Linked DNA regions of Mus musculus. The protein of the gene in region 1 purifies or fractionates together with the protein of each later gene. This does not show direct contact. Links are inferred from orthologs where the notes say so. Each region holds a gene or a part of one and is shown in the gene's direction. Other genes may lie near its edges.

Evidence for each region.
Region 2: the proteins of Actr2 (region 1) and Coro1c fractionate together in Homo sapiens (co-fractionation; 3 studies listed by BioGRID and IntAct, with this or other methods). This does not show direct contact. The link is inferred for Mus musculus from reciprocal best matches to the Homo sapiens genes ACTR2 and CORO1C.
Region 3: the proteins of Actr2 (region 1) and Churc1 purify together in Homo sapiens (affinity purification with mass spectrometry; 4 studies listed by BioGRID and IntAct, with this or other methods). This does not show direct contact. The link is inferred for Mus musculus from reciprocal best matches to the Homo sapiens genes ACTR2 and CHURC1.
Region 4: the proteins of Actr2 (region 1) and Cttn purify together in Homo sapiens (affinity purification with mass spectrometry; 3 studies listed by BioGRID and IntAct, with this or other methods). This does not show direct contact. The link is inferred for Mus musculus from reciprocal best matches to the Homo sapiens genes ACTR2 and CTTN.

Annotation. Positions count from the first base shown.
Region 1 is NC_000077.6:20,074,952-20,078,451, reverse strand, and holds part of Actr2 (actin-related protein 2), read left to right. Parts: intron 1-1,118; coding exon 1,119-1,264; intron 1,265-3,500. UniProt on the Homo sapiens protein: ATP-binding component of the Arp2/3 complex, a multiprotein complex that mediates actin polymerization upon stimulation by nucleation-promoting factor (NPF).
Region 2 is NC_000071.6:113,905,907-113,910,054, reverse strand, and holds the start of Coro1c (coronin-1C), read left to right. Parts: upstream 1-1,348; 5' UTR 1,349-1,444; intron 1,445-4,148. UniProt on the Homo sapiens protein: Plays a role in directed cell migration by regulating the activation and subcellular location of RAC1. Increases the presence of activated RAC1 at the leading edge of migrating cells.
Region 3 is NC_000078.6:76,764,147-76,768,337, forward strand, and holds the start of Churc1 (protein Churchill), read left to right. Parts: upstream 1-1,391; 5' UTR 1,392-1,453; coding exon 1,454-1,492; intron 1,493-4,191. UniProt on the Homo sapiens protein: Transcriptional activator that mediates FGF signaling during neural development. Plays a role in the regulation of cell movement.
Region 4 is NC_000073.6:144,468,136-144,472,275, reverse strand, and holds the start of Cttn (src substrate cortactin), read left to right. Parts: upstream 1-1,340; 5' UTR 1,341-1,587; intron 1,588-4,140.

The DNA of each region.
Region 1 (3,500 bases):
AGCTCAGCCTGGACTAATAGCCAGGCCATCTTAACCCCGCTTTCCCCTTTCCAACACCCCCACAAAAACAAAACCTGAGACATGGTGGTGCCCACCTGTAACTTCAGTAAATTTGATATGGGGCTGAAACGTTACTGAGTTTGAGGCCCACCTGTGTATATAGGTCAGCCTCAGACTCTGAATGACTGCCAGGCACAGTGTGCCCACCTGTAATCTCAGCACTTGGGAGCCAGGCACAGGAGAATCTCTCTCTGTAAGCCTGAGGCAGACAAACCAGCCATACAGACCAGAGTTCAGCAGGTAAGGGATTTCTGCGTAAGTCATGTTAAAGTGTTGGACTGTCTAAATCTTACTGGCTTAAGTTAAGGTTATAGTTACCACTTAGATAAAGTTATTTAAGATGCAGTAGCATAAAAAATTTTCTAAATCAGTGTTCCTTAAATTTTTGTTTTGTTTTGAGATAATGTCTCAATAGGTAACAGCCCAAGCCGGCCTTGAATCCATGATCCTCTTGCCTCAAGAGCATTGGCATTGCAGGTTATGCATCATGCCCAGCTGCGGCTGTGGTTGGTTGGCTTGGCTGGTTGGTTGGTTTTTTTTTTTTTTTTTTTTTTTTAAAGATTTATTTATTTATTACATGTAAGTACATTGTAGCTGTCTTCAGACACTCCAGAAGAGGGAGTCAGATCTCATTACAGATGGTTGTGAGCCACCATGTGGTTGCTGGGATTTGAACTTCGGACCTTCGGAAGAGCAGTCGGGTGCTCTTACCCACTGAGCCATCTCACCAGCCCGGTTGGTTGGTTTTTAAGAAAGAAAATGTGTGTGTGCACATGTGTAAATCAAAGGATAGCTTTTGGGGGTCAGTTTTTGCTCTCTGCCTTGTTGAGATGCTGCCTCTTCTTGAGTACATTGCTAGCTACTAAGAAAAACGATCAATAGAGTATGTATGATGCTAGCATTATCATTTGAGTTATTTTGTTTCACCTAAGAATACTTTAGGAAGTCTTACTGCTTTTACATAATTTTGATTGCAGGCCAGATGTATTTAAAACACTCATTGTGCAGAGAATGCAGAGAAGTTGTGGTTTTGCTGACACCTGGTTATTTCTTTCTAGCTTCCAGATGGACGTATCATTAAGGTTGGAGGAGAACGATTTGAAGCACCAGAGGCTTTATTTCAGCCTCATTTGATCAATGTCGAGGGGGTTGGTGTTGCTGAACTGCTTTTTAACACAATCCAGGCAGCCGACATTGATACCAGGTACAGTAGACAGCATTTCCAAGTCATTTATAAGACACGGATAGGCCACAGAGATGGCTCAGCAGTTAAGAGCATTTGCTGTTTGTCTAGAGGACCTGAGTTCCATTCCTAGCACCCATATCAGACAGCTCACATCTCTGAGCCTGTGACTCAGCAGCACTGGCCTCTTGTGGGAGCCTGCATTTATGCACACAGCATTGCCGTGCAGATGCACAACACATCTAGACATGGTTTAAAACAATAAGAACAAAATGGTTTTAGTTTTGTTTTTGGTTTGTTTGAGTTTTAAGGCAGGGTTTCTCTGTATATAGCCCTGGCTGCCCTGGCTTGCTCTGTAGACCAGGCTGGCCTCAAACTCAGAGGTCTGTCTGTCTCTCCCTCTCTGCCTCTCTGCTTCTCTGCCAAATGCTGGGATTAAAGGTGTATGATATTTTCTCCTTAACTTGTATCTCCTTTTTGGATAGAGGTATAATCTGATGTTTTGTAAAACCAAGGATATGTTTTGTAGAGCATGGTGTGGTTAAATGGGAGGAATCCCCACTGAGGTAGCAGCCAGTATAGAATAGGGTTTATTTGGGTGCATGGGATGGGGGGTTGAGAAGGGAGTAGAGGCAGAGGAAAAAGGAAAGGAGAGAGAGAAAGAGAAGAGAAGAGGCTGGCCAGGAACATGGGGGAGGGGGTGTCAGAGAGAGAAGGGAAGCCAAACAGTCCCTTTTGTAGCAAGCCAGACCTACCTGGCTGTTGCTAGGTAACTGTTCGGCAGAGACTAGAAAGAATGCTAACAAATTCAGTTAGAGTACATGAAACACTGGGTTTGATTTACAGCACTGCACGTGTTTTAATTCTATTTCAGTTAGCTAGCTAGCTAGTTAGTTATCTGGTGTGTATGTTTTGATGGTGATGGTGGGTTCCATGGCACACTTGTGGAAAGTCAGGAGTTGGCTTTATTTCCTTCCTCCATTTGGATTCCAGGGATCAACCTGAAGTCATCAGGATTGGCAGGAGGTATCTTTCCCCACTGAACCATCTCACCAGATCTTTAAATGTAGCTAGTTAATTTTTTCTTTTTTTAAACAGGGTCTCACTGTGTAGTCCTAAGAATAGGCTGGCCTTGAATTCAGAGATCCTCCTGCCTCTGCTGGAGTTAAAGGCATGTGCCACCAAGCCCAGCTTAAGTTTTTTTTTTTTTTTTTTTTTTAATTGACAAAAGTTCTGTTTATGAGCCGGGCATGGTGGCACACGCCTTTAATCCCAGCACTCGGGAGGCAGAGGCAGGTGGATTTCTGAGTTCCGAGGCCAGCCTGGTCTACAAAGTGAGCTCCAGGACAGCCAGGGCTATACAGAGAAACCCTGTCTCCAAAAAACCAAAAAAACAAAAAAAAACAAAAAAAGTTCTGTTTATGATATATAACATGATGTCTTGAATTTTAATTGAGTATACATTACTGTACATACAACTTTTTTGATGAGCACTCTTAAAATCCCAGTGCTTTTCAGATATATTTTAGAAACAGAATCTGTGTTTGGTGATAGGCCTCCTATCTAACTGAATTTGTATAGCTTTTGATTAGCAGCTCCTCTGTTGAGTCACCAGCTCGTTGTCCTTGGTAACCATCTTACTCTCCTCTGCTACTGGATTCAGCATCAGATTCCATGTAAATAGGGCCATGCAGTATTTGCCTTTCTCTGCCTGGCTTCATCTAACATAATTTCTTCCATGTCTGTCTTCATTGCTACAAATTACAAGGTTTCTTTTTTTAAGGGAGAATTACATTCTATTGTGTATTCCAATTTCTTTTTTATTCTTTTTTTTTTTTTTTTTTTTTTGGTTTTTCGAGACAGGGTTTCTCTGTATAGCCCTGGCTGTCTTGGAACTCACTTTGTAGACCAGGCTGGCCTCGAACTCAGAAATCCACCTGCCTCTGCCTCCCAAGTGCTGGGATTAAAGGCGTGCGCCACCACGCCCGGCTCTTTTTTATTCTTTGAGATATGTATTTAGTGGTGGATTGCTGAATTGTTTGTTAGTTCCGTCTTTAGTTTTGGGGAACGTTTCTATTCTGTTATCTGTAATGGTGATCATAGTTTATGTCTGGGCTTCTTAAACTTTTCACTTATGATACCCCCTATGTTAGGGTTTCCTAGAGTAACAAAACTTACAGAATAAAATGTGTTTTTGTGTGTGTGTGTGTGTGTGTGTGTGTGTGTGTGTATTCTCTCTCTCTCTCTCTCTCACACA
Region 2 (4,148 bases), on another chromosome or scaffold:
AAAATTGAGCTTTGCAGAGAGTAAAAACTTGCTGAGCAAGCTGCTTCATTCTGGTAGACCTAGATTTACACAACACATAATTTACACACACACACACACACACACACACACACACACACACTTTGCCTAATTTTATTTTATTTACTTATTTAGAGACAGAGTTTCTTTACATATCCCTGGATGTCCTGGAACTCAGTATGTAGACCAGGCTGGCCTGGAACTACTGACGGAGATCCACCTGCCTCAGCCTCCTCAGTGTTGGGACTAAAGGCGTGTGCCTTCTGTTTTGAGGTGGCAGTTTATCTTAATTCCTGCAACAAGAATTCAGGGGTTCTACCACTGAATGCCGACCACAGATTCCTGGACATCTCTGAGGCTAAAACAAAGTGAAAATTCATCCCTCTGCGAATTGTAAAGATGCCTTGCTTTGGGAAATAAATGGCCCAACCCCTCAGCTGGCCCAGATCTCTGGACGCAGTTTCCTTAGATCTTGGTATTTCAAAGCTTGATATTTCTGAAGGGGCTTTGGCTAATAGTGGGATAACCTTACACTCAAGATTAGGAAACTGAAATCCAAAGAGGTGAGTGAAATGGTCCCTGGGTCACTTCATTTGAGAGTAACAGGGCTAGGACACATATCCACGTGCTCATATGGAGGGACTTTAGCCAGGGAGTCTTCATTGCTTCTCCTTAGCTCTCTCTCATAGGTGTGGTCCAGCCCAAGGGTTGCCACCCTGCCCTGGAGAGTAGTGGGAGAGAGCGTGGGTGAGAGGGTTGAACCAGCCCTGATGGAGGTGGGGCTAAGAACTTGGGGCGGGGCTTACGGTTTAAGTACGCTCAGGGCTGTGGGCGGGGCTTGAGGTACAGCAAATAGGATGATCATAGGTTCCCCGGGTCTTCAGGAAATCCGAGCGGGGATTTGCGGCGCTCAACTGGGGGAAGCTAGGTTTTGGGGGCGGGGGGAAACCAAGCCCTGCTCACGGACTCGGTGGGCAGTTAGATGCGCTCAAACGACCATCCTCATAGAGAGGCTCTGCAGGGCCGTGGGTGGAGCTTAAGAACGCCCGCTCTGGTTCTAAAGACCTGGGTGGGGCTGGAAGGAGCCCGTGGGCGTGGCCACCCGGCCATTCAAGTGCCCCGGAAAGCGGGCGTGGGCTCCGAGTCTCCTTGCACCTCCCCGCGCCACCACAGGGGGCGCTCTAAGGAGAGCCGGGCATCTAACCGGGACCTTCCGGAAGTGGGCGTGGTGAAGCGTGGTTCGGCGGCGCTGGTTGGGCGCGGCCCCGGCGCGGGGGCGGGGCCCGCGCGCGCGAAGGCCTGGGCAGCGGCGGCCGCGCCCCTCCCCCGCGCGGCGCTCAGTGCCAGGCGGGAGGCGGCAGCGGTTGGAGGCTTCGCGGGGCTTTGCAGCAGGGACTTCGGCGGCGCCTCAGGCACCCGGGCTCTGGTAAGCAGCGCGCGCTCAGGACGGGGCAGCTCCGGAGCGAGCCCGGGGCGGGCGGGCCGGCCTCCGGGACCCCGCGTGTGAAGCTCTCGGCTGACAGGAGCCGGCGGCGCCGAGTGGTGCGGGGCGCACGCGCATGCCCCGGGCGCTGCGGCTGGGGAATGGCCGTCTGCGGGCAGCCGTGGGCCCGGCAGCCGTGAGGCGGTGTCTGAGCGCTGCGAAGAGCCTGCGGCCGAGCGCTCACGTGGGGCTGGGTCCGCGGGGGACCCCCGGTGTGCGGGGCGCGCCCGGGCGGGGCTCCGCCTGGCTCGCAGTGCATGGCCTCCTGGACCCTGAAGACCTGGGGCGGGGGCGGGCTGCAGTGGCGTGGCCTGGAGGAGGAACCCTGTCCCGGGTGCGGAACCTAGTGACCCGCGGGGCAGGTGGGGCTCAGCCGCGCCGAGATGGCTAGGATGACATCAGAGGTGGAGGGTGGGGACGCCCAGCCCAGCTCTGCCGCCGGTCCCCCGGCGGGCGTACGCACAGCAGCCCTATCTATCTCCAGTGATGTGAATGAGCTGGGGGGAAGTAGCCGGCTGCAGGGCTTTCGGAGAAGAAAGGGGCTTCCTCCCGGAGGGAGGTGCCGGCCCCGACGTCCTTTTTTGGGAGTGTTCAAAGGGTTTTTTTTTGCAGGCTGGAAAAGGAAATGCAGGCTTTCTCTCCGTCGTGGTTTAGAATCACATCCTATATTTGGCCTTCATGTAGGCTGCCCTTGTTTTGTGGTGTCAGAACGGCTTGCTCTACACATTTCGGTCGTGGGATTCAGAGTGAGAAGCAAATTGCAAGTTGTTCGTCTCTCCCGGAATTGCTTCCTGTAAGCATTTGAAAGAGAATTGACCGCAGAGCGTGCTTATTCGCAGGGCCACAATATGTTTAGTTTTGGAAATGGTTGGCACGAAATAATTGTACTCCCATCCCGTGGCCTTCCCTACCGGGATTATATTCTAAAACAGTACTTGCGAGGCTCTTAGTCACCCTATATAATAAAGCGTCTTATTGTCCTTGTCTGGCAGCACCCTGACACCAGGGCCTGCTAGTAGAGGGAAGAACATGATGAAGTACAAGTAGTTGCTTCCTGCCTCCTTCTCGGGTGTGAAGGCAAATGGTAGTTCATATTCCTGTCTGTCCGCAGCTTCAGAGCAGCTGAACACAGTGCTTGGTTCTGGACATGTTAGAGAACACTGACCTAGGGAGACTTGGGGAGTGTGTGTCACACGCAGTGATGTTTGGATAGCCAGCCTGACATTAAACATCGAATCTAGGCGGCGGTTACATATTGTACTGGCTGGTTTTCTGTCTAGCTTGACACAAGCCAGAGTCATCAGAGAGGAGGAAGCCTCAGTTGAGAAAAAGTGAGACTGAGGTTATAGAAAAGCCTGTGGGGCCTTTTCTTAATTGGTGATTCATGGTGGGAGGGCTGAGCCCATTGTGGGCGGGGCCACCCCTGGGCTTGCAGTCCTGCGTTCTATAAGAAAACAGGCTGACCAAGCCATGGGGAGCAAGACAGTAAGCAGCACCCCTCCATCAGCCTCTGCATCAGCCTCCTGCCTCCAAGTTCCCGCCCGCTAGAGTTCCTGTCCTGACTTCCTTTGATGATGAACTGTGATGTGGAAGTGTGAGCTGAATTAACCCTTTCCTCCCCAAGCTGTTTTGGTCCTGGTGTCTCATCACAGCAATAGTAACTAGAACTGAAACATATATAAACAGGAAAAAAAATGTGGTAGAGCAGAATTGCTTTATATCATAGCTCTACAAGTGCTCTGTCTTTTGGTAGTTGACAGTCACACACACAGACACATACTTTTTTAAGAAATCAGAACATGTTTTCTCTGTGTGTGTGTGTTTGTGTGCGTGCGTGCGCATGTGCGCGAGCGCATGTGTATTTTACTTGTGGACAGTACATTAAAGCCTGATGAATTTACAAGGTTTTTAAAAATTATTATTTTAAGGTGTGTGTGTGTGTGTGTGTGTGTGTGTGTGTTGGTGTTGTTGGTGGTTATGTGCATATATGTGCACCCTTGCTGGCCAGCGACATGAGATTCCCTGGAGCTGGAGTAGCAGAGGGTTGTGAGCCACCTGCCCAGGTGGAGTACTGACCGTGGGTTTTCTTGAAGTGCAGCAAGTGCTTCTAACTTAATCTTAGTCACATCTTTCCAGTCTCTTAAGTGTCATGAATTTATTTAACATAAATATCCTGGAGAAATGTCACTGCAGAAGCATTAGAGTTTTCATGGTTATTTGTTATTCCGACCAGATCACGCTAATCAGTATTTGTGTCTGTGTATAAATTAGGATTAGATTCCGGATTGCTAAATACCATTTTTAAACATTATTTCTGGGATCCACTCCAGCTGTGTGGGGAGTCGCTCTAGTGCTTATGTGATAGAATGTTTGAAATGATGTTATTAGTTTCTTAGCTAAATAAGTGGGGGTGTGGAAGACTCAGTTTTTTTACGAGAGCACAACATTCATTTAGTATTTTGATATGTCACAAACCGGTGCTTTAGAAACAGAGTAATTGAAGTGCCTGACCTCTCCCGGGGTGGGGTGGGGTGGGGGTGGGGTGGCCCAGTGCGAGCTACATTCAAACTCAGCCTACTGACCCGGTGCTGAAGGCCCCTGGGCTTGTGCTCCATCCGATGGCTTCCCTGTGTCGGGGAGCTATCAG
Region 3 (4,191 bases), on another chromosome or scaffold:
ACAGACAACTAGGTTGATCTTAATTCTTGGTAGAGTAAATAAATCAGGAATAAACACAGGGGTGTAAATATTCCTATGTGTTCTGGGTAAATGCCCAGGAATAGAATAACAGGTTCATATGGTGATTCTAGTTTTAACTTTTTGAGTAGTCACCAAACTGATTCTACAATGTCTGTATTTTAATTTGCACTCCCACCAACAGTGACTAACAGTTCCTTTCTCTCCACATCCTTCCCAGCATTTGTCATCAGATTTATTGATGAGAGCCATTCCGACAGGGGTGAGAGGGTATCTAAAAAATAATTTTAATTTGCACTTCCCTGATGTTTGAGGACAATGAACACTTATTGGCCATGTTTTGTTTTTTTTTTTAATTTTGAAAAGTGTCTATTCAATTCATTTGCCCATTTATTGACTGGCAGTTTTGTTTCCTTGGTATTTAGTTTCTGCAATTCTTATAAATTCTGGATATTTGCCTCTTGTTTGAAATATGGCTGGTAAAGATGTTTCCCATGCTGAGGACTGTTTTTTTCTGCTAATTGTGTCCTTTGCTGAATAGAAACTTTTCGTGTAGTCCGTTGATACTAAGGGTTAGTTTCTGTTAGTGTTAGTGTTCCTGTGCTAATTAAAAAGTTCTTGTCCAAAGCAGTGTCTTTTTTAAAAAATTTACTTTTATTTTATGCACATTGCCTGCATGTGTGTTTGTGTTAGGGTGTCAGATCTTGGAGTTACAGACAGTTGTGAGCTGCCATGTGAGTTCTGGGAAGTGAAATTGGGTCCTCTGGAAGAGCATTCAGTGTTCCTAATGGCTAAGCCATCTCTCCAGCCCCTCCAACCCAATATCTTGACAACTATCCCCTATGTTTTCTTCTGGAAGTTTCAGTGTTTCCTGTTTTAGATAATGGGTTTTGATCCATTTTTGAATTGATTTTTGTACAAGGCGTATGATAAGAATCTAATTTAAATAATTTAGTAGGTTCTCGACAGCGCTCTAAGCTTCTCTTCCCAAACACCAGCTTACTCCTTCTCTGAAGTCTGATCTCTTATCTGTTATTATAGCACAAAATGGTATTTAAACTGTCATTTCAGGTTTTTTGAGTCTGGTAAAAATGGAGGCAAGAAGAAACAATTCCCCTTTTTGCTGTACTTCTGTAATTCTTTTTTAATCAGAATTCAAGAAGGCGCCTATTAGAAGTTCTTTCAGGCTCAAAGCCTCTTCCTCTTTTCGACACTTCTTTGAGTCCTCAGATCTTTTCAATACCTGAAGATTTTTGAGTCCAGTCCTCGGTGCACCCTCCTTACCCGGAGACCGCCTAACAACCGTTGCTATGGGCGGAGACTTTTAGCCAGCTGTGGAGTCCTTAGATCGTGTGCGACAAAATCGATATCTCAACTCTCGCGAGGTTTCGCCTTCCGGGTGTCGCTGGGGTCGTTCTCCGAAAACTGCGTGACGATGTGTGGGGACTGTGTGGAGAAGGAGTACCCCAATCGGGTGAGCAAGTGGGCGCGAAGAGCCTCTCGCAGGCTCGGTGTTCGACCGATATTCCTAGACAGGCCAGGGGCCCACTCTGCAGTCCTGTCACCCCAGTGACCCTGAGTACCGGCCGCAGGTTCCCTCTGGTGGCTGACGTCAGCGGTCCTTCCGGTTCTGTTGCTGGGGACAACGGGGAACCCTCAAAATTACCTACCCACCCAAATTGACAGCAGCCTCTGAGGCCCTGACGCGATCCCGGCTTCATCCTCCAGCTCGACTTGATGGAATTCTTTTTACCTCATTCTGTCGCTGAATGAACGTATGAGGTCATTTTAAAATCCACCTTTTTTGAGACAGGTTTTGTGTAGCCCAGGCTGGTTTCGAACTCTCTATGTACCCGAGGAGGATTTTGTTTGACTTTGATCCTCCTTCCACATACCTCTTGAACGCTGGCATTACAAGCGCGCGCCACTGGGCTCAATTTAGAAAATGTTAGGGATGGAAGTGAGAGCTTGGTGCGGAGGCAAGCTTGCCACCGACTGAGCTACACTTCCAGCCTCTGGTTCTAACCCACGTTTGAAGATGGCAGAACTGGTCCCCAGAGAGGACCTATCACCTGCCCAAGTATGAGAGCCGAGACTAGATTGTGATCTCCCTCTCCGCCTCGTCCCGTTCTCTTTTCCTTGCGCCTTCCCTTTCCCCTTCCCTTCTTAGCACTGAGGCCTGACCCCAGCATGTGTCCCTACCAGGCAAGCACTCTGCCAACAGAACTATACCCCCTGCTCTTATTTTAAGCCTTTGCGCCTCTCGGGCTTAGGAGGTTTTGAGGCTTGGCTCTTACTGTTCTTTCAGGGAATCACTACTGCACGTTGATGTGTGTAGAGAGTGCTTGGCTGCTCTGTGAAGGAGTGACTGCCAAGGCTCTGGGGCTGCTTCTGGGCTTGCAATTTGGGGGCATAGGATTGACAGGCTGCTGTTTAAACGTAGTGAAAAGGAAGATTGAGCAGGAATGGGGCTGCGGTGTTCTCCTTCCACATAAGGTGGGTTTGGACGATGATTTAGAGGAGGAAGGATCTGCAGGACAATAGCAAGATGAAGGACCCTTGAGTTGGCTGGGAGGGAAAACATCCTCATAGTTCTTTCTCTTAATAGTTTGTGAGTGATGGGCACACACCTCTAATCCCAGCACTGGGGAGACAGAGGCAAGCAGATCTCCAAGTTCAAGGCCAGCCTGGTCTATAGAGCTAGTTTGAGGACAGCTAGAGCTACACTGAGAAACCCTGTCTTGAAAAAACAACAAAAACCCCACAAAAAGAAAACTTCTTTTTTGAGTTATATGTAAGTCTTTTGAGATTGTTATGTTAGAGGAATTTTCATTATGGTACAACCACTTTGGTTTATAAAGTCATTACCATTCATTATCAAATTTAAATGTCCCCTGGAATGACACAGAAGTGCTTATCCCGGAAAAATGCACGTGCTCTCATCTCCTGGCAACGTGTATAAGAATGCTTGTAAGATCATTATTTGTCGTAGGCCAGAGCAAAACTCGTGTTCGTAAAAGGAAATGTCTTAAGAGTAGGGTTGTGGGCTGGAGAGATGGTTCAGCGGTTAAGAGCACTGACTGCTCTTCTGAAAGTCCTGAGTTCAATTCCCAGCAACCACATGGTGGCTCACAACCATCTGTAATGGAATCTGATGCCCTCTTCTGGTGTGTCTGAAGACAGCTTCAGTGTACTCATATAAAGAGTAGGGTTGTGAGTGTGAATTAGATTTAGAGTATCAGCTCTCAAGTGGAAGCGGTTTGGCAATATCTAGAGACACTTGATTGTCACAGTGAAGGCGCTCCTTGGCATCTAGTGGGTAGAGACCGAGTATTATACTGCAGTGCACAGGACAGCCATCTAACCGAAGGTCTGTATGCCCCAGTGTCAGTAGTGCAGACGTTAAAGAACCCAGAATTACAGCAATGGGAGCACTAGAATCAGATACAGCAGCCTGACTTTAGTCTGACAGTATTGGCGAAAGAACACATGAAGTGCAGCTTTAAATGAAGCAGACTAAATTACAGTAAGACTTTCCTGGTTGGTAAAACAAGAAGTTACTCTAAAGACATTGTGTTGATGGCTGCTAGACAGAGTATGATCGAGAGTGGTTATATAAGGGGCCAGAGAGATTGCTCGGTGATTGGTGCTTTTGCAAAGGACCTGGATTCAGTTCCTGGCATGGCAGCTAGCAACTGTCTATAACTCCAGTTCTGGGGATCCAACTGTCTGGTCTCCATGAGTACTAGGCAGGCATTGATATACATGAAATAACTGTAAATCTCTCAACAACAAAAAGTCGGAGAGAGGCTTCTGGAATATAAGAAGTGGGGGTTTTTTGTTTGTTTTTTTTTTGTTTTTTGTTTTTTTACATAACTGGTGGTTCTGCTGTTTGCTTATAATTATTGTTATGTTTCTGCTTTTATTATTTTTCTATATTGTTTTAGTTCATACTCTTTTTTAAAATTTATTTATTTATTATATGTAAGTACACTGTAGCTATCTTCAGACACTCCAGAAGAGGGAGTCAGATCTCGTTAACGGATGGTTGTGAGCCACCATGTGGTTGCTGGGATGTGAACTCCAGACCTTTAGAAGAGCAGTCGGGTGCTCTTACCCACTGAGCCATCTCACCAACCCTCATACTCTTTTTTTTAATTAGGTATTTTCTTC
Region 4 (4,140 bases), on another chromosome or scaffold:
GAAGCAAAGACAGGAGGATCTCTGGGGCCTGCTGACCAGCCAGCTTAGCCTAGTGGATGAACTGCAGGCCAGAGAGATCCTGTCTCAAGCAGTGAGTGGCCTTCCTGAGGAAGATGCCAGAATGTGTCCTTGGACCTCTGTATGTGTGCTCATGCAGTTGAATGCACACTTACATGTGAATTGTGCACACACACATGGGAACATTCTCCTCTGACACCTGACATCTCTTTTTCCTTCCTGATCTATTCATAAATTTTGACAGTTTAGCCTTTTGTTTTCTGCCTTGTGGTGCTAAGGTTGGTACCAGGGCCCTGTACATACTAGACAGGCACTCTACCACTGAATTACATCCCTAACCTCCCTCTTTCATCTCCTTTCTCCTCCTCCTCCTTCTGGAGAGGGGGGCAGGAGAGACAGAATCCCTCACTTGGCTGATCAGGACCAGACTGGCCTCTAAGTGATCCACTTGGCCGCTGCCTTATTAGCTAGCTTTGTTATACAGTCCAGGACACCTGTCTAGGGATGGACCACAGTGGGTTGGCCCTCCTGTATCAAGACAATCATGCCCACAGAATAACCTAAATAAGACAAGTACACATTTGAGATTTTTTTAAAAAAAAATGTGATTCTAGGCTGTTTCAAGTTGACAGTTAATGTCAACTAGGACAGATAGATGAGTGGATGGATAGATAAGTAGATGGATGGTTGACACATGGGTGTATAGGTGACATGTTGGTTAGTTTTTGTCAACTTGACACTAGAGTAATCTTGGAAGAGGAAACCTCAGTTGATGAATTGCCATCAGACTGGCCTGTAGGCTAGTCTGTGGGGGCATTTTCTTGGTTACTGATTGATTCAGAAGGGCCCAACCCACCGTTGTGGGTTGCCACCCTTACACTGGTAGACCTGGGATGTGAAAGAAAGGCTGAGCAAGCCAGTATGCAGCACTCCTTCATAGTCTCTGTTTCAGTTCCTGCCCTGCCTGAGTTCCTGTTCTAACTTCCTTCCCTCAGTGATGGACTATAATTTATGAGCCAAATAAGCAGTTTTCTCCCCAAGCTGTATTTGATCAGTTCTTTTTGTTTTGTTTTGTTTTGTTTGTTTTTCGAGACAGGGTTCAGTTTTTTGATCACAATAGGAAGCAGATAGATGGAAGAATGGATGAACAGATGTATGGCTAGATGAGTGGGTGTATGGGTAGATGGGCAGAAGGACAGATTGGTGGATTGGTGGGTAGAAGATTGACAGGGGAGTGAATGATGCTGTGTAGATCCATGCGTGGGTAGAGAGTTGCAGGGTGGATACATGGTTGGAAGCTGGGTTGAGGGTGAATGTGTGTTGGACAGGGCTTGACGGGTGTTTCTAAATCGGATCTCCGCAGCTGACTGGCGGCCGAGCTGCCTATGAGTCCTGGAACTGTGTATCCTGCTTTCTTGATCAGCTAACAGGAATACGGGGCGGGGACGGCCTGGAATAGGGCGGGATCTTGCGTGGCCCCGGATGCGGCCCCGCCTCCGCGGAACCGGAAGTGAGCGGGCACAGGGAGCGGCGGGGCGCGGCGGGAGCCTGGTGGACCCTGCTGGTGCGGTGAGCGGGGGATGGGCGTCCTAGAGAGCTGCTGGGGGACAGGAAGGGTGTGGGATGATGAGTTGTCAGGGTGCCGGGCCTGGACGGGAGGTTGGGGTACAGGGTCTGGACTGGGCCCAGGTGATCCGAGTGCGGGGCAGGGTCGGGGCCCAGGGGTGCAGGGCCAGGATCTGTTGGTCGAGGCCTCGGAGTGTAGGGCTGGGACCCCTGAGTCAGGATTCCAGGCCAAAACCCGGTGTTCGCGGTGTGGGGCCGGGATTGTGACTTGGGGTGTGTGGCTGGGGTCGGGCGTCGGGACCCGGGCTGCAGGGCTAGGATCGGGGGTTGGAGTGCAGTGCTAGGAGGGGGAACCGGGGTGCAGAGTCAAGGCCAAGGGTTCGCGGTGTGGGTCCGAAATCGGGGGGTTGGGGTTGTGGTGTGGCGCTGGGATTCGGGATTCGGGGTGTAGGGCCAGGATTGGAGGCTCAAAGTCCCGGGTCGCAGGGTCTGGATGGGGACGTCGGAGCCCCGGGTATTGGGCAAGGATCGGAGGTTTCGGACACCAATGCTGAGCCGTTCATCCCGTCATTTGTGGAGTAGCTAGGGGTGCACAGCCGGTCTGGCTCTGAGGGGGCGGGCCCTAGGACACAGGCCCTAGGAATTTTGGACATAAAGAAAGGGGTGGGGTTTCAGAGCAGGAACCCAGGATGAAGTGCTAAGTCGGTTTGGGGTGTTCTAGGTCAGAGTGCATAATTATGGGTCTGTGGTAGTCAGAGTACCAGAACCTGGGAAAAGAATGTAGACCTGAGGCCTGGGAGATGCTGGTGGGGGTAAGGGGACTTTGCTTCTAGAATCTAGTGGAATGATGAGGGCCTGGGGGAAGCTGGTGGGCCTGGGGAGCCTGGGGTTCCAGAACCCAGTGGAATTATGAGGGTCCAAGGACCTGTAGGAAGTTGGTAAGGCTGAGCAGCCGGGTTCCAGCATTGGTCTCTAGTCCTCAGGACTGGGCTGAGAGGCCAACATCTGAGGAAAGGCCTGGGCACCTGAGGGAAATTTGCAATGGGGTCAATGGAAATCCAAGCGCCTAGCTTGCTTCCTGGAGCTAAGGAGCCTGGAATCCAGCCGCCCCTCCTCCTGGGTGTGTGCCCAGTCACTGCAGAGGTGTTTGGGCCTGGTATGTTCCTTTGTTTCCTCTTGGTCCGTGTGAGGGATGGGGACTTGTGGCCAGGGAGAAGGAATTCCCTGTTGTGCCCAGTGAAGCAAGCAGAGGCTTTAGCCCTTCCTAGTGGTTTGCCCTGGCTGCACTGCCTGGGCCTTGCCAGTAAGTAGCCCAAGCTCCAGTAAGTCCTCACCACCCAGTAGACCCTCACAGTCAGAACTTACAGCCCACCCCCCACCCCCCTCCCCCAGCGTCCACCAGGGGTCAGGCCTCTGCTGGCTCACCCAGAGTGAGTCACCAGTTCAGGCCCTGAGTCAACACTGCTTCTCTGTTTGACTGAGAAGGTTGTCACCAGAAGTTTGAAGGAGGGAGAAGCAGCTTTTGTGGGAGCTTCAGATGTAGAAGAGTGCAGAGGTGGGGTTGAAGAACTGATTGTGGTACTAGGTCTCCAGAGCACCCTGGGCCTTGCTAGACAGCTTCTCCACCCAACTTTAGCCCTGGCCCTAGAGCTGACCTTTAATTGAGGGCTTATGACAGTTATGCCTTTAACACCTTGTAAAATGCCAGGGAATTTAATTGGCCCTTCAGACTTTGACCTGTTAGTCGGGAAGGCACCTGGCATAACTCCGCACCGTCCTGAGCATCCTTACCTCCTTGTGCCCCTGGTCTTTGTCCTGGGCATGGTCGTGTCTGCCTACCAGCTTGTCTCTTAATGGAGTCCTGGGCAGGCTAGCCTACTCCGTCTGTGCACTGGCCTCCATAGGCATGGGGTGGGGGTTGCCCTTTCCATAACAACTCCTGACCCAGCCACCTTTGCTCCGCTGCGCTATAGGTATCAGGTTCAGGGCCTCAAGATGGTGGATTCCTCCATCCTGTGACTAGGTCCTCTCTGACTGAGCTTCGTGCTGGCTGTGTGGGGCTGAGTGGCTTTCTCTGTCCCCGTCTGATTTCTATCAGCTTTATTGATATTTCACCCTACACGTGATCACCCGATTGAAGGGTTCAGTGGTTATCGATGTATTCAGAGTTGTACAGCCATCACCACAAACAGTTTTGGCCTTCTCAGAGATCTACATAGAATGTGCATGCCCATGGTCCCAGTGGCTGGGAATGCTGAAGCAGAGGACCTTAAGACCAAGGAGTTCTGGCCAGCCTAGGAACAAACCTGGAGTCTGTCTGTCTGTATGTGTCTCTCTTTCTACTCCTCCCTCCCACTCCCTTTTTGGTGGTGGTTGGGATGCATTTGAGACGGATCTCTATAGCTTTGATTAACCGGAAACTCACTACGTACACCAGCATGCCCCCTACACTTGCAGCCATCCTCCTGCCTCCTGAGTGTTGGGATTATAGGCTGTGGGCACACACTATCAAGCTGGGCCGCTCTGCTCTGTCCTTTAGAAAAGAACGAAACTGGA